Linked DNA regions of Oryzias latipes. The protein of the gene in region 2 purifies or fractionates together with the protein of the main gene of each other region. This does not show direct contact. Links are inferred from orthologs where the notes say so. Each region holds a gene or a part of one and is shown on either strand. Other genes may lie near its edges. The genes, in order: tmem231, tctn2 and tctn3.

Region 1 (4,394 bases), on a different chromosome or scaffold from region 2:
AGTATTCTAAGTGGACTTGAGTTTAAAAAAAAAACTCGTTTCTCACAGTGTTAACACCTTATTGGTCATATTTTCTTCAAAAACTGTGTGTGGATCTACAGAAGTACTTTCTCTTTGTCTGTACTCTGATCATTTTTAGGTAAATGGGTTTGTGTGTAAACGCACAGCAACATACTTTTCTGGTAATAGATATTTGTCTTAAAGAAATATTTTAGACACATTAAGGTTTTGGTTTAAAGTATAGAAACAAAAAGCATGGACCAGCTTTTCATCAGGGCTAATCAATGAAAGATTGCCATGGCAACAGGAGCAATGCTTTGAAATGCAGCTTACACAATGACATAGGAATGTGGTTCTTAAGACTTGAAAAAGTGTCACACATATCAGTGATACACAAATGTGTTCTCACAGAGACGGCAGGGATCCGCAGGTTGGGCCCCAGCATGTTGTTGAGGTGTGGGAAGGTACTCCAGGCCACATAGTCCCCTTGAGTGCCGGTGGCTGCAACCATCAGAGTCTGGTACTGAAACCTCACAACCGGCTGTTCTTCATACGTGCTTCGCTTTAACCAGAAACCTGAAATTGAAAAAACAAAACTATAAGGTTTTAGGAACTTTTTGACGTTGAGATTTCTTCTAATTCTATGTTACCATCAAACCAAAAACCAAACATAAAATAGCATAAGATTTCTATTAGAATCCTTCAGCCAAACTTCCCACAATCTCCTATAGAATTTGCTTCATTTTTTTTTTTTGGAATGGAATTTGCTTCTTGACAAGGTTTGTCATGCAGAAAACATGTCCATCTGATGTACCCAGAATTCAACAACTTTTCTGACTTTTCCATGGCATTTTTTACATTTGAACCCATTTTTAAAAATTACAGAAGACGTTTTAAAAGCATAATTCATCATTTACCAAATATGTTCGAATAATTCAGTTCAAAATAGCAGCATTTTTGTCACATTTGTTCCACAGCATTAATAAGGGCATTTTTGAATGGTAATATGGGTTACTGTTGTATTACAAGCAAAGGCACTAATGTGCAATGAAAGCCAGCATGAAAATAACACAACGTAAATTCTGTTCCTGTAATGGATTTGAAACATTCAAATCAAATAAAACTTTATTTATAGAGCAGTTTTTCCAACTTGAGTTACTTAAAGTGTTTTACATAAAAACATAATCCAATTTTAAAAAACCAAAAGCAAGACAAAAAATATGTATACAATGCATAAAATGCCCCCCGCCGCACACACACATGCACGCACACATGCACGCACACTATAGTAGTGCATCAAATGATTCACTAAAATGATGCAAAGTAGAAAGTAGAAATCCGGCTTTGTGGGGAAATTATAAACCGTCCTCACAAGTGAGCCCCACCCAAGTTCACAGAATACACTACAGGACTCCCCAGATGCAAGAACCAGACCCAGAAGATCCCACTGCAGCGATCCCCATTCACTGAAAAGGCTCGGCCACCTATTTGGAAGAAAATTGTAAACATGTCAAAAAAAAAAAAGTTTGGTAAAATTTAATAGGTGTGGGATTATAAATTCACTTCTTTCCCACCCAATTAATCAAACTCTATTTAAAAAACATAATATTTTATGGATTCAATGTATTGCACACGTGTGTACTGTATGAATAGGTGTAGATATACCTATTTATGATACATTGTAATGTCAAGTGTATAAAAACATTTTCTGTCATTTTATTTTTCTCAAACCAGTTTAGGAACTAATATTTTAAAATGATACTATATATACATACACACATATATATATGTATATATTTTGTTTTATTTTAGAGCTGAAAGCTGCATGAAATCCATCAATCAAATCAAAACACATCCAACAGATTTAAGGCTAATCTTTCAACAGACACAAATGGATTTAGTCATTTTGAAAACAACTCATATCTAGACTTAAAGCAAAAGTTGTAAAAACTTGGGTTATTTAATATAAAAGCTTATTCATATGCATTCAAAGAGAATAGTTGTTGTCTAAATCAAATAAATCTGAGTAAAAATGGAATGAAATATTGCTGAAATGTTATTAATTTGTTATTTTTACTGGACTAATAAAACTTTATTTAAAAGGCCCTGGCTTTACTCATAGGCTTTGTAACGTGTAAAGTAATATAGATAATAAAAATCCTTTTTTTATATTCTAGCATAAACAAAGACTTTAACAAAAACATAATATATTCTTTTGTTCAAAATGAAATAAATGGACACTTTAAAGCCTCGATATATATACTGTACCTTGACTCCTATAAGCAACAAGCAGAGGTGGGATGTAGGTTAGGCACAAAACAACAACCAGGAACAGCGTAGCCTTTGTGCAAACACTGGTTTTGTACCGAATTACAGCCGGATGAGAGTACACTTCGTAGAAAGCCATACGTTCGGTGTAAAGACAGCTAGCTGTAAGGCTACAGCTGGAGATGCTAACCTAGTAGCGGACTAAATGATTACCGGCGTAAAAATGTCGATACTACCTAAACTGGTCGTTAAGAAACTCCAAAAAATCTTCCTCTGGATTCTAAACGCCAGTAAATTCATATTTTTCTGATAACTTTTCGCGTTGAAATGCTATTTTGCTAGCCCCTGCAACATGTAAGGAAACGAGCCCCCCGCCATATTTCTGCAGCGTCCCTCGGTTTCCATGGCTACCATGGTTCAGGATGCATTCATGAACTGTGGGGAATGCTGAAACTCTTCTGTGGTCCTGAAATTAAGTAAAAGCACAAAAGTAGTTATTTCATTTCATGCCTGGAAAATTCCCATATATTATTATCTTTTTACGTTGTTATGGGAACTATTAATTTTAAATAAAAGCTCAAATAAAAGCATTAAAATTTTTTATACAATTGTGTTTCTAATAATAAATGCCCATGACCGTTCTAAGGCATTTCAATGTATCATTTTTGTTTCATTGTTTATTCAGTCTGACTGTATTAATTTTGTATTTCTTTGGTGTTGTTTTCATTAAACTAGAAGGATATTAATGTAGAAACTAGATATTAATGCGTGTCTGTCAACAGCCCCAACTACAAGGATTTTTTTGGACCGAGCACTGCTGGGCGCACTTGAACGCACCAGGAGCACCAACAGCCAGACGGTGACGTCACCTCTCCGCGAGACGGACAGCTGAGCAACAGAAGCTCTTTGTTGACGTTTTGTTTTGGTCGCTTTGGGCAGGATTTCTGCAAGTTTGAACCCCCAACAGGGTTAGCTGATCGTGAAGCCCGCCTTTCGCCCCTGCCGTCACGCATCAGTGCGGGAATCCAGCAAAGATGAAATGGATGTTTAAAGAGGACCATTCCCTCGGTAAAAAGGGTTTGGGTTGTTGTTATGAAACCAGAGAGAGATGTCCTCTTTTCATGTCGCGTGTTTTTCCTTTTTGCTCCGCGGACTGTGTGTCCTTCGATGTGGCTCCACCACCCATCACAGACACACTAACGCGGGGTTTTCGCAGGAGCCTGCCGGAAATCGATCCTGCTTAGCTTGGCATGATCATGCTAACACGCATTTGCTGCAGGTTGTTTAGGATCACCTCAAGAGAAACGCCATTTAAAGCATTGCATCATCATCTAGTATTGCTTTAATTTCAATATTTTGCATGCATTACTTAAAAAAGTATGGTGGATTAAAAAAAAACAACCTTTTTTTTAATCTATTTTTACTGTTTTTTTCTATTAGGCCTAGTTTGTGTTATATAAGATCCTTCTGTGAAGTTTTGTCTTGTCATTCTCATGGTAATTGGATAACCTTGAGGACTCTTTTTTTTTTAAAGAAGCACCTCTGAAGATAGAACTTTTATCTGGGCTAATGAACCTAGATGGAGTCCTCCCCTCACTCACTCACTCCTCCCATCCTCCCTGCACATCCATGTGTCTGAAATGAATTTGCATGAAGATGTTGTACTATTCCTCTGAAACAGAGGATCATGAGTGGGAAACATACACTTCCCCCATCTTGTGTTGTGCTTGTTCAAGGCTGAAGACAGGAAATCCCCAGAGGACGCACTGATCCCTTTAATCTCTGACTTCCTGTTTGTTTGCTGTCTCTTTCCTCAGAGCACCGATGTGTGGAGTCAGCCAAAATACGCAACAAATACCCGGACAGAGTACCGGTGAGTTGTGGGGGCTGGGTGCTTTTATCGGAAATGGAAATGCAGAGATGATCAGAGGGAATCAATACCGAAATCTCTGACATCCAACCAGCCTGGATGCTTATGTATGATAAGTCAGGCATCTTCTGAGTGCAACGTCATTCCTCTTTTTCTCAAATTACAAAGATGACCGATGAACACAAAAGAGCTTTCACATTTATGTACCCACTTGCTCTTGTTTGTGGATAACATGACCTCCATTTTCCATCACCTC
Region 2 (4,394 bases):
TGTCATATTTTCATCACATTTTTGTCTTTTGGTTGTAATATCTCAAGGGAGTCAGTGCTTGGCCCATCCTTCCAAAAAGCTGTGTCTCCAGCTGTCGCATCAGCTAGTCCTTATGTTCAAGAAAGCCCACTTATCCAGTTAGATGGACAGTTTTTTGTTATACCTCAGGTAAGTTGTCTGTAAGTTTGTTTAGAACGATTGTCCTTTTAAACGATGGTTGATGTGGTTTGTTGGCAGAGCTTTAAAGCTCAACAGATGGGTTTTTGCTGCACAGGTCATCCTGGGGCGATGTGGAAGCAACACTCCCGTAGCATTTTTGAGAAATTTCAAAGTGGAATGTGTAACCCTGCTCCACTCTTGTCCAACGGGATTTCCGTTGCAGACACAATCGGCAGAACTGACCAGTCAAGTCATGGATGGGCAAGGCGGTGAGTTTTTTGTGTGCTAACCACCCTGTAGTTTTGCTTCAATGTTTTCTGAAACTTTTCTGTTGCTTCAGGAGTTGTTGAAGTGGATGTAGCTGAAGAAGTGGTCTCTGATGTAGGTCCATTTATCACCAAAAGCATCACAGTTCCTTCTGAAGGTATTTAGATGATAACATAGATGGACAATAATGCAGATTTTCAGTAAATTTATAATCAAGTTTGCTCATATTTTCTGAAGAAAAGATTCTGGTGTGTGAGAATGTGACCATATCGCTGGATTACAAGTTCTATTGGAAAGCAAATGGCCTCACAGGAATCGCACTGACACGCACCATTGGGACCATCATCTCAAATACAAGCGGTAAGTGCCGGTAATCCCCATGCAGAACTTTGTCCAGCAGGAGCCAAAATATATTATTTAAATGAATTAGTGACACATTTTGTTTTGTGTTTCAAACAGTGGAGTTAAGAACGAGATATTCTGCTGTGTTTTTAAACGGTAATTCTATGGCTGAGCCTGTGTCAGGGAACCCAGGTAAGGATGGAGATGAGGCTTTGTTCTTAAAAATGCACTGTAAAAAAAACTAAAGGATGTTTTACTTGACAGGTTATCAGGTGGGGAGGCCTGTTATTGCTGGAATCATAGACAACGACACATCCTCAATGCAAAAAACCTACATTAATGTTTGGAAACCAGGTTACACTTTCATACAAATAATTACAACTCACTTTTAACCCAAAACTGAATGCATTTCACTCAACATTACAGAAGATTAACTGCTGTTCTCTGATCTGTCTGCCAGTTCATGATGGGCTCTGTTCCAGTGCTGAGAGGGAGGCAGTTCTGTTTGGGAAGAATTACACATCTGGATGCCTGCTGCCTGTTGTCACAAATAATCTGACTCAGTGTAATCTATTGAGGTCAGTATGGTGTCATGATTTATTTACAGAACATTTGTGAAAAAGATAAATATCTTTGTGTTTATCTGTGAAGTGAGAATTGTATTCTTTGAGTCATTGAGGTCCAAAAAGCTGGAGCTTTACTTTAGTCAAAAATAATTTCTGATTTTAATGTTTTTGCCCTTTTATTCTGTTTAAAAAGGTAGGTCAATGTATTAGACCCATTCTAATAGTGTACTAGACTAAGTGCGTGACTCCATGGCCTTCTGTGACCTCGGTTTAATTTTTTTCAATTATGTGGTGCCAGTTCACAGACAAAAACATCTCAGAACACCATACAAAGAAAGCAAACAGACTGGAAAAAAATAAATCAAATCAGATAAGTCTGTTATAATTTAATCTAGTTTAATTTGAGTCAATTTATTCTAACTGTATCAAGATGAAGAACTTGGCTGAGGACATAAGGATCTAGCTTGGACTGCTCATAGAACATGAAGCAATAATGGAGATAAAATAAGATACCAGAAAGTGAAGATCTTCAGAGGTAAAATGGAAACAATGAGAGAAAAGCCAGTACTTACTTGAAGATTTTCAGAACACTAAAAGGCTGATAGTTTAACTGCAGAAGCTAAAAAAAAAGTCAAACGTGTACATTAATAGCAGAGCTGAGACAAATGAGTGCATCTAATGTTTCTGAATTTTAGAGAAACGGTCTTTAAGCTACAAGAAGGTTTGACTGCTGCTGCATACGTGGCAAAGCGTGGAAACCCAGATCTTTTTACCATGACAGATTGGCTGAACATTAGCTGTAAGTATATTGGGCCAGAAAACATCATTCAAAATTGATCACTTGTCTTTCTATTATCAATTATAATTGTTTTATTTATTTGTAATATAAGTGTACAGTCATGATCTTGCTAACTCTTAACCTAGTGGTAAGCTTGAACTCAAGCGATGCTGCAGAGGACACGTCCAGTGAATGCAGGGCGGTTCCATCCCATGTCCACGTGCAGGTTTGGACTCTTGTCACTGGGTTTGTAGGAAGCATACCTCAAAGGGAAATCTTTGCTTTGCAAGTCAGGTTTGTATCAGATGCTTACTCAAATGCAAACTGAGCTTGAAAGTACATCTTAACTCCTACTTTTTACTACAGTGTTCACGTCTTGTTTTTCATGTAGCCTTTTGTGTTTTTTTTAGCTATGGTTTGTCCACCTGGTCATTGGACTGTGGAGGAGGCAATGGGTCTTTCTGTGAAGAAAGTCAGTTGTTGTCGATCACCTCTTCAGTCACCTTCATTGACATTCCCTACAACACAGGGCCACCAAAAAGCAGGTGAATGATTTTGATAATGACTTATAAGTGCAATAAAAGTTATTCTGTTTTTCTGCGTGTTTCTATTGTTTTGTTGTTTATTTGATCTTTTCCACTTAATATGTTGTCCATGCTGATGTAATTGCTGCTGCAAATGGTTTGGTTTTTCTATCATCGAACTAATAGTGGAGTTTCTATTCTTACCTTATGTTAAATAGACTTTAACTTGTGTTGCTTTCCGTTTATTTTTTATATCATTTAGGTTTCAGATCAACTTTACAGAATATGACTGTGACAGGAATGATGTGTGCTGGCCCGAGCTCGCTTTTCCTTTCACCAGATATTACACGGGTATGATTATTCATGGAAATATACTTTAACACATTAAATAATTATTTCGCACAAATCAATTTGCTTTTCTGATAGCTAAAATGCAAGGAACAGAACATTTGTGAGCTGAGCAAGACACTCTTGTAGATTTCTAAAGTAAATCAGTATTTATTGTAACAAGATCGGGATAATCGAATTGGTAAATACAGTGTTAGACTTACTAACATTAACGTATTAACATGTACTGCTAATCTCTGTCACAGGTGAGCCGTATTCTCTGGCATTGGCAAAGGGTTTGATCTTGGTTTTCTTCTTCATCACGGCCTCAATTCTTGGATCACCATGGAGGAAAATCAGACAGGCATGGCACAGTGCTGCCTTCTGAAACCTGTTCTTGAAAACAATGACAAATTTTGTACATTTTTATTAATTGAAAGTGGTATACAAACTGTTTTTCCTTTGAATTTTAAAAAATAATTTGTTTTAATTAAGAATTTTACTTAATAAAATCACTATTTTTTGAATAATTACTGTGTCATACTTTTATTGGTAATGGACTTGGCAAATTAGTTGCTACTCCTGTCAATGATTCAATTTTTTTACAGTCTTCATAAATGTGTTTATTTTATACGTATTCTTTCTGACATCTGACATAGTACTAGTCATTTTATAGTTCAATTTCTTGTTGGTACTGGAGTTTAAATGTTCAGTGCCTCTCCTAAAGGCACACATAACAGATTTTACAAACAACGCTTAAAAAAAAAAATTCTGTTTAAAGTTTATAATTCAATTCAGTTTACAGTCTTTTTGACATCTAAACCAAAACTGGATTAGAGCAGAGAATTCTACCCAATCCTATTGGCTGATCTTCCAGTGAATCTTTTTTCCTGAGTAAATGTGTTGTCATCTATAGATGCTTAAAGCAATAAAATATCCAACATTTCTTACAAGCGAAGAAATGTTGGATATTTTAGAATAACTTTTAGTAACTTGTATCTAGACTTGTCTTGTAATCTTTTGGCGGCTCATGCCTGCTGAGGTTAAAGTCACTGGACTAAATTAATTATAGATTTTATTACCTCCGCCTCTAAAGAATGCTGCCTTTTTAGTCATCTTTATCTGTAAATCAATAGTGCCATTCACTTAAACATACTTTATTAAAGTAAAATATGTTGTACTTTTATAGTTGGTGCCTTTTTATTGCACTGTTAAACTTATTGTGTGGCAGACTGACCTCAATATATGATGGATCAATCTTGACATTTTCCTTTTTCTGGGATGTGTAGCTGCCCAATGACATTAAAAGTAAAATGTTTTTAGTCCTCTTCAATTTGACAGGAAATACTAAATCCAAAAATACATTTATCGGGGGGGGGGGGGGGGGGGGAAACACATTTTTGTTCTCAGCTAACCTAGGCCAGTGGATTG
Region 3 (4,394 bases), on a different chromosome or scaffold from region 2:
TTCATTTCCAGATAAAAATCACAGTTGAATTTGTGTTCAGTTTGGTACTTCTTATTAATAAATCTAATGTTATCCTGATTTAACAGCATTATTAACGTCCTTTTTGTAAGATTTTAGAGGGCTGCAACTCGCTGTTTCCTGTTTTCCACTTGATATAAATACCTTTCACAATAAAAGTCCTTTCATCAGTTAACAAAAACTGAATTATTTTAATTTAAATATGACATCAGAAGTCGAACGAAAGAACACATTTGATGTAAATATATCTTAAAATTACATATTCATTGTAAAAGAATAGTCAATATTCAATTTTTGCAACATCTTGCCTTCAGAATTGTCATTACAACTAATTTATCTACTTTAAAACAGTCAGATTGTAGCTTCTCTTGCAGAAAACTATGTGAATTGACCCCCTTTTAATAAACACCTTTGCTTTGTGAACTCACTTGCAGGGTTTCGGTTGATGCAGAGTGTCGACACCGTCCCCGCAGAAGGCTGACGGAGGACGCTTCGCACAGAAGAGTCCAGGAAATACGTCTGGATAACGTCATCAACCTGCAAAACCATGTCCCAAATAATCAACGCATCCTTAAGGCTGACTTATTATAAGTGAGTAAAAACCTTTCATTATGCGATTACCCGGTAAAAATCTCTTTCATGACTGATGAACGTTTGACCTGGAGCTGAGAAGTGGTAGGAGTTTCCTAAAACTGGACGTCCACTAACTGCTGGGACAGACTTAGGAGGAACATCTGCTGGGAGGAAAAATATTTTGTGCTGGTGGGTAAACCTTATTTCTTGCATTTTTTTAAATAGATGTACATTTATTTTGCTTTATATTCAGTTTACTAACTGTCATTTTGGACACAGAAGAAGGAGTCGGTCACAGTGACGAGACGAGAATCCATGTTGGCTTTGAACATGAGCCATTTCTCAATGCAGACTCCTAGACTGGGAAATAAAACAAATGAAACGTGATCACGTCTCCAAGATGAACCATCTAGGACTTGGAGAAAATAAACGCCTACGTGACTGCTTGTGGGCATCCACGGAAGACGGAGCTCAAGTTGGCAACACCACAATCTGTGGTGTCACAACAGCAGCCAATGTCACAGAAATCTGTTGTCAGGTCACAAAGACAACCTGAGAAAATAAAAACAAGAACTAATTCAATGGGAAAGCGTGTTTTATTCATATCTTTGCAAGACTTCAGTATTTTTACTTTTTTTTTTTTTATTTCAAAATAGCAAAAAAAAAACCTCCTGATTTAAACATTTAAGGGACAGGATTTGAGTTTAAATAATTCAGCATAGATGGCAAAAAATTTGTTTTATTTTGTCAAAGCAAAATTGTCTTAAATTTTTCTTTTATTTCTCTGATTTCTTTTTGTACTGATATTTTTGAGATTCTTGTTTGAATTTATTTTATTTTATTGTGATTTAAATAGTTTTAAAAACTGTCTACACTAAAAGCGTAAAAATGTTGACTAATTAAATCGATTCGCACTTCGAAAATACGAAATAAATCAACCAAATTTGGCGATTTTTTAATTAAACTAATATGTTGTATTTATTAATGCAAACCTGTTTAGTATTTGTTTTTAACATAAAAAATCCTAATTCTGTCAATCAATACTGCAACTTCATTCAGTAGAAATGTTTTATTTTTTTAAATTTGCTTTATGAATAGAAAAATTATTAAATGTATGATTTCTATTCAAACTTGTAGATGGAAATAGGTATTTTAGCAGCCATTTCCAGCCTCAAATTCTCCAAAGGCCTTTGAATTTCTCTGCCTTTGCTCTGCTTTGGGCAGAAATTCTGCAACCTCTAACAGCAAAAGAGCCATTTGGTTCAGTTTCTTCCTGAAACAGCGAGAGCCGCAACGTTTAGAAATCCTATAGAAAAATAGACTTTATTGATGTTTTTGTGGTCATTTATCAAATTTAGCTTTTAACATTTACGATCATTGAATTATAATAGTGCTATGTTCTTATTTTAACTTCTATGACAGCAGCACAGACAAGTTCCTTTCAAAATAAAATACACCCATGTCAAATAGGATCCTGCTGTAGTGGATTTAGTTGAGCCAAAAATAAAAGAAAGCCAAGTCAAATATGGGATTTTCTGTCATGATAGTGCGCTTTTTCTCTACTTACTGTCAAATATAAATATAAATCCAATGTCTTTAAGAAATCTATAGGTTACATTTAAATGAAATTAACTTTACCTCTGAACAGCAGACAGATGTAAACATTTCTGACACGGTGAAGTAAACTTTTTACCATCAAGTAAGCTGACATGATGTTAGAAATCTTAATGTAAATGACAGCATCTAAGTAACTGTAACTAAAAAAAGGAACCTAAACTCCCAAACCATTCAATATTTAAATAGTTAGCATTTTACTCAAAGCCAAAGAGGTTTGGGGCTTCTTGCACATCGTTGCAACTTGGTTACCCTGTAAAGCAGGCTGAGTTGTGCTCTGGACGGTGGTCGCGGTTGGAGCCCCGGTGAAAGCTGACTCAGACACGGACAGCGTGGACGTTACCGTCACCGTGGAGTCTGGAGTGGGTTGCGGTGACACCCCCTCCGTGAGTCCGGCTGTGACGGACTCCGTGGTTCCAGACCCGCCCGGAGCTGGAGTAGCTGCGCTGAGAGGCTCCACATTTGTTGGGGTGTTAGTCACAGCAGAAGCTAGTCCAAGCTCCGTGGCCGCGTGAAGTAAACGTGCACACAAAACAACACATATGGGGAATAAACAGAGGTTCATTTCGCCACTAGAGACATGGCGCAGTTATCTAAAATTGTAAATGTATATATATAATATTGCTGCTACTTTTAATCATTACTGATTTAAATATCAAATAGTTAAAATTCCCGAAAATCTGAAAACCTTTCAGTAAGCTACTTAGCCAAACACCCTTATTTTGTCTCGTTGCTAAGGAAGTTGTCATGAAGACTTCCGGTTTCAGGACCTCGCTACCGTAAATCGCCTACAATAGACGAACATGTGCGTTTCTGATCAATAAACAAAAGCCTTCAGTTAGTGGTAAATGACATGATTAATAGGAGCTTTTCATTATTTCAAAGCTTTCCAAAATCTTGATAAATTGTCCTTTTACTTCACCATGTTAATATATATGCAGCCCATATTATCTGTTTTTTAATGTCCTCCGGAAAAAAACAACTATTTAGGTCATTTAAACTTCTTTTTCAAAACAATTTCTTCTTTGTTCAACTTCTCTTTACAAGTCACTTTTAACCTTTTTACAAATCTTTACCTTTTTTCCCCCCATCCTTTTTTTCTGTTCTTGTTCCCCACCACTGGAAACCTTCCCCTGTAAGGAGCCCAAGACAGGAAATTGAAAGATAAATGATACAAATAAAAATAAATGATTGTTTCCCCAATTTAAAATGTTGTGCGCAAAACGTAATATATTATTAGCATTTTTTTGCATAAAAAATACTAATTTTTGCATTCAAAATGCTAATTTGAGGGAACTATTTATTTATTTTTTTGAGTGCCATGTCCAGGGCTCTGTACCCTCAGCTCAAGGACTTGAGATGTCAACAGACTTGACACAAACACTTAACAAAACTACATCTAAACTGAGTCAAATAAAAGTTTTTTGAAAAGGATGGACAAAAAAACTAGCTTGTGTCGTAAATTAACATGAACATTTTCTGTTTTACAGTTATTGCATCGGCCACTATCCATTTTAGAGTGACGTCCAGCTATATATTGTGCTATTTTTCAAAGGTAGACATAACATGAACAATAATCAGTGTGTTAGAAGAGCAAGACATTCAATTCTTCCATCTTTCTGCTTTTCCTCAGCTTTTAAACACATAGAAGGTATGGCCTCAATTCCAAGTATTTTCACTATTTATCTTTTAATCTTTAATGGCTTCAAACTGATGTTTTATTAATGGAATTCTTATGACTGCTCTATCTTTTGCAAAAATGTTCTGTTCGAGCTGCATCGGTGCAAGCCAAGTAAAACAAGGAGAGCTCAAACTGGAAGGTTCTCAGATGTGGACGAGTGGAGATGTTCAAACTGGGCAATGCAATAAAGAAGTATTCAGACATCTGGATTTGAAAAGGTAAAATTTGATACAGCATTACTTGATTCATCTCATATTGAAAATAAATACTGTGTCCTACTAACTTATACATAAATAATTGTTAATAAAAGCTAAACGTTTTCCTAAAAACTGTAAATGCTATTAAAGAAAAAGACACAATATGACAATGTATCCTACAATTGAGCTCAATCAGTATTTAGTACCAACATAATTTTTTACCCTGTTATTATGTTTTGGCTCCTCTCATGTCTAAAAGTATTTTTTTTAAAGTGAAGTGCATTGGAACCTGGTCCCAAAGGTCCAAAAAG

The links.
Region 1: the proteins of tctn2 (region 2) and tmem231 purify together in Homo sapiens (affinity purification with mass spectrometry; 3 studies listed by BioGRID and IntAct, counting the BioPlex papers as one, with this or other methods). This does not show direct contact. The link is inferred for Oryzias latipes from reciprocal best matches to the Homo sapiens genes TCTN2 and TMEM231.
Region 3: the proteins of tctn2 (region 2) and tctn3 purify together in Homo sapiens (affinity purification with mass spectrometry; 3 studies listed by BioGRID and IntAct, with this or other methods). This does not show direct contact. The link is inferred for Oryzias latipes from reciprocal best matches to the Homo sapiens genes TCTN2 and TCTN3.

Annotation. Positions count from the first base shown.
Region 1 is NC_019864.2:27,556,772-27,561,165, reverse strand, and holds the start of tmem231 (transmembrane protein 231), read right to left. Parts: upstream 2,687-4,394; 5' UTR 2,408-2,686; coding exon 2,269-2,407; intron 577-2,268; coding exon 410-576; intron 1-409. Other genes in the region: gamma-aminobutyric acid receptor-associated protein-like 2, read left to right, coding at 3,303-3,336, 4,086-4,141. UniProt on the Homo sapiens protein: Transmembrane component of the tectonic-like complex, a complex localized at the transition zone of primary cilia and acting as a barrier that prevents diffusion of transmembrane proteins between the cilia and plasma membranes.
Region 2 is NC_019876.2:4,345,701-4,350,094, forward strand, and holds the end of tctn2 (tectonic-2), read left to right. Parts: intron 1-47; coding exon 48-168; intron 169-274; coding exon 275-428; intron 429-499; coding exon 500-583; intron 584-663; coding exon 664-786; intron 787-885; coding exon 886-960; intron 961-1,032; coding exon 1,033-1,122; intron 1,123-1,228; coding exon 1,229-1,346; intron 1,347-2,029; coding exon 2,030-2,133; intron 2,134-2,258; coding exon 2,259-2,406; intron 2,407-2,522; coding exon 2,523-2,657; intron 2,658-2,898; coding exon 2,899-2,987; intron 2,988-3,229; coding exon 3,230-3,351; 3' UTR 3,352-3,493; downstream 3,494-4,394.
Region 3 is NC_019877.2:7,548,927-7,553,320, reverse strand, and holds the start of tctn3 (tectonic-3), read right to left. Parts: upstream 3,098-4,394; 5' UTR 2,771-3,097; coding exon 2,458-2,770; intron 1,144-2,457; coding exon 1,029-1,143; intron 952-1,028; coding exon 854-951; intron 756-853; coding exon 640-755; intron 556-639; coding exon 447-555; intron 1-446.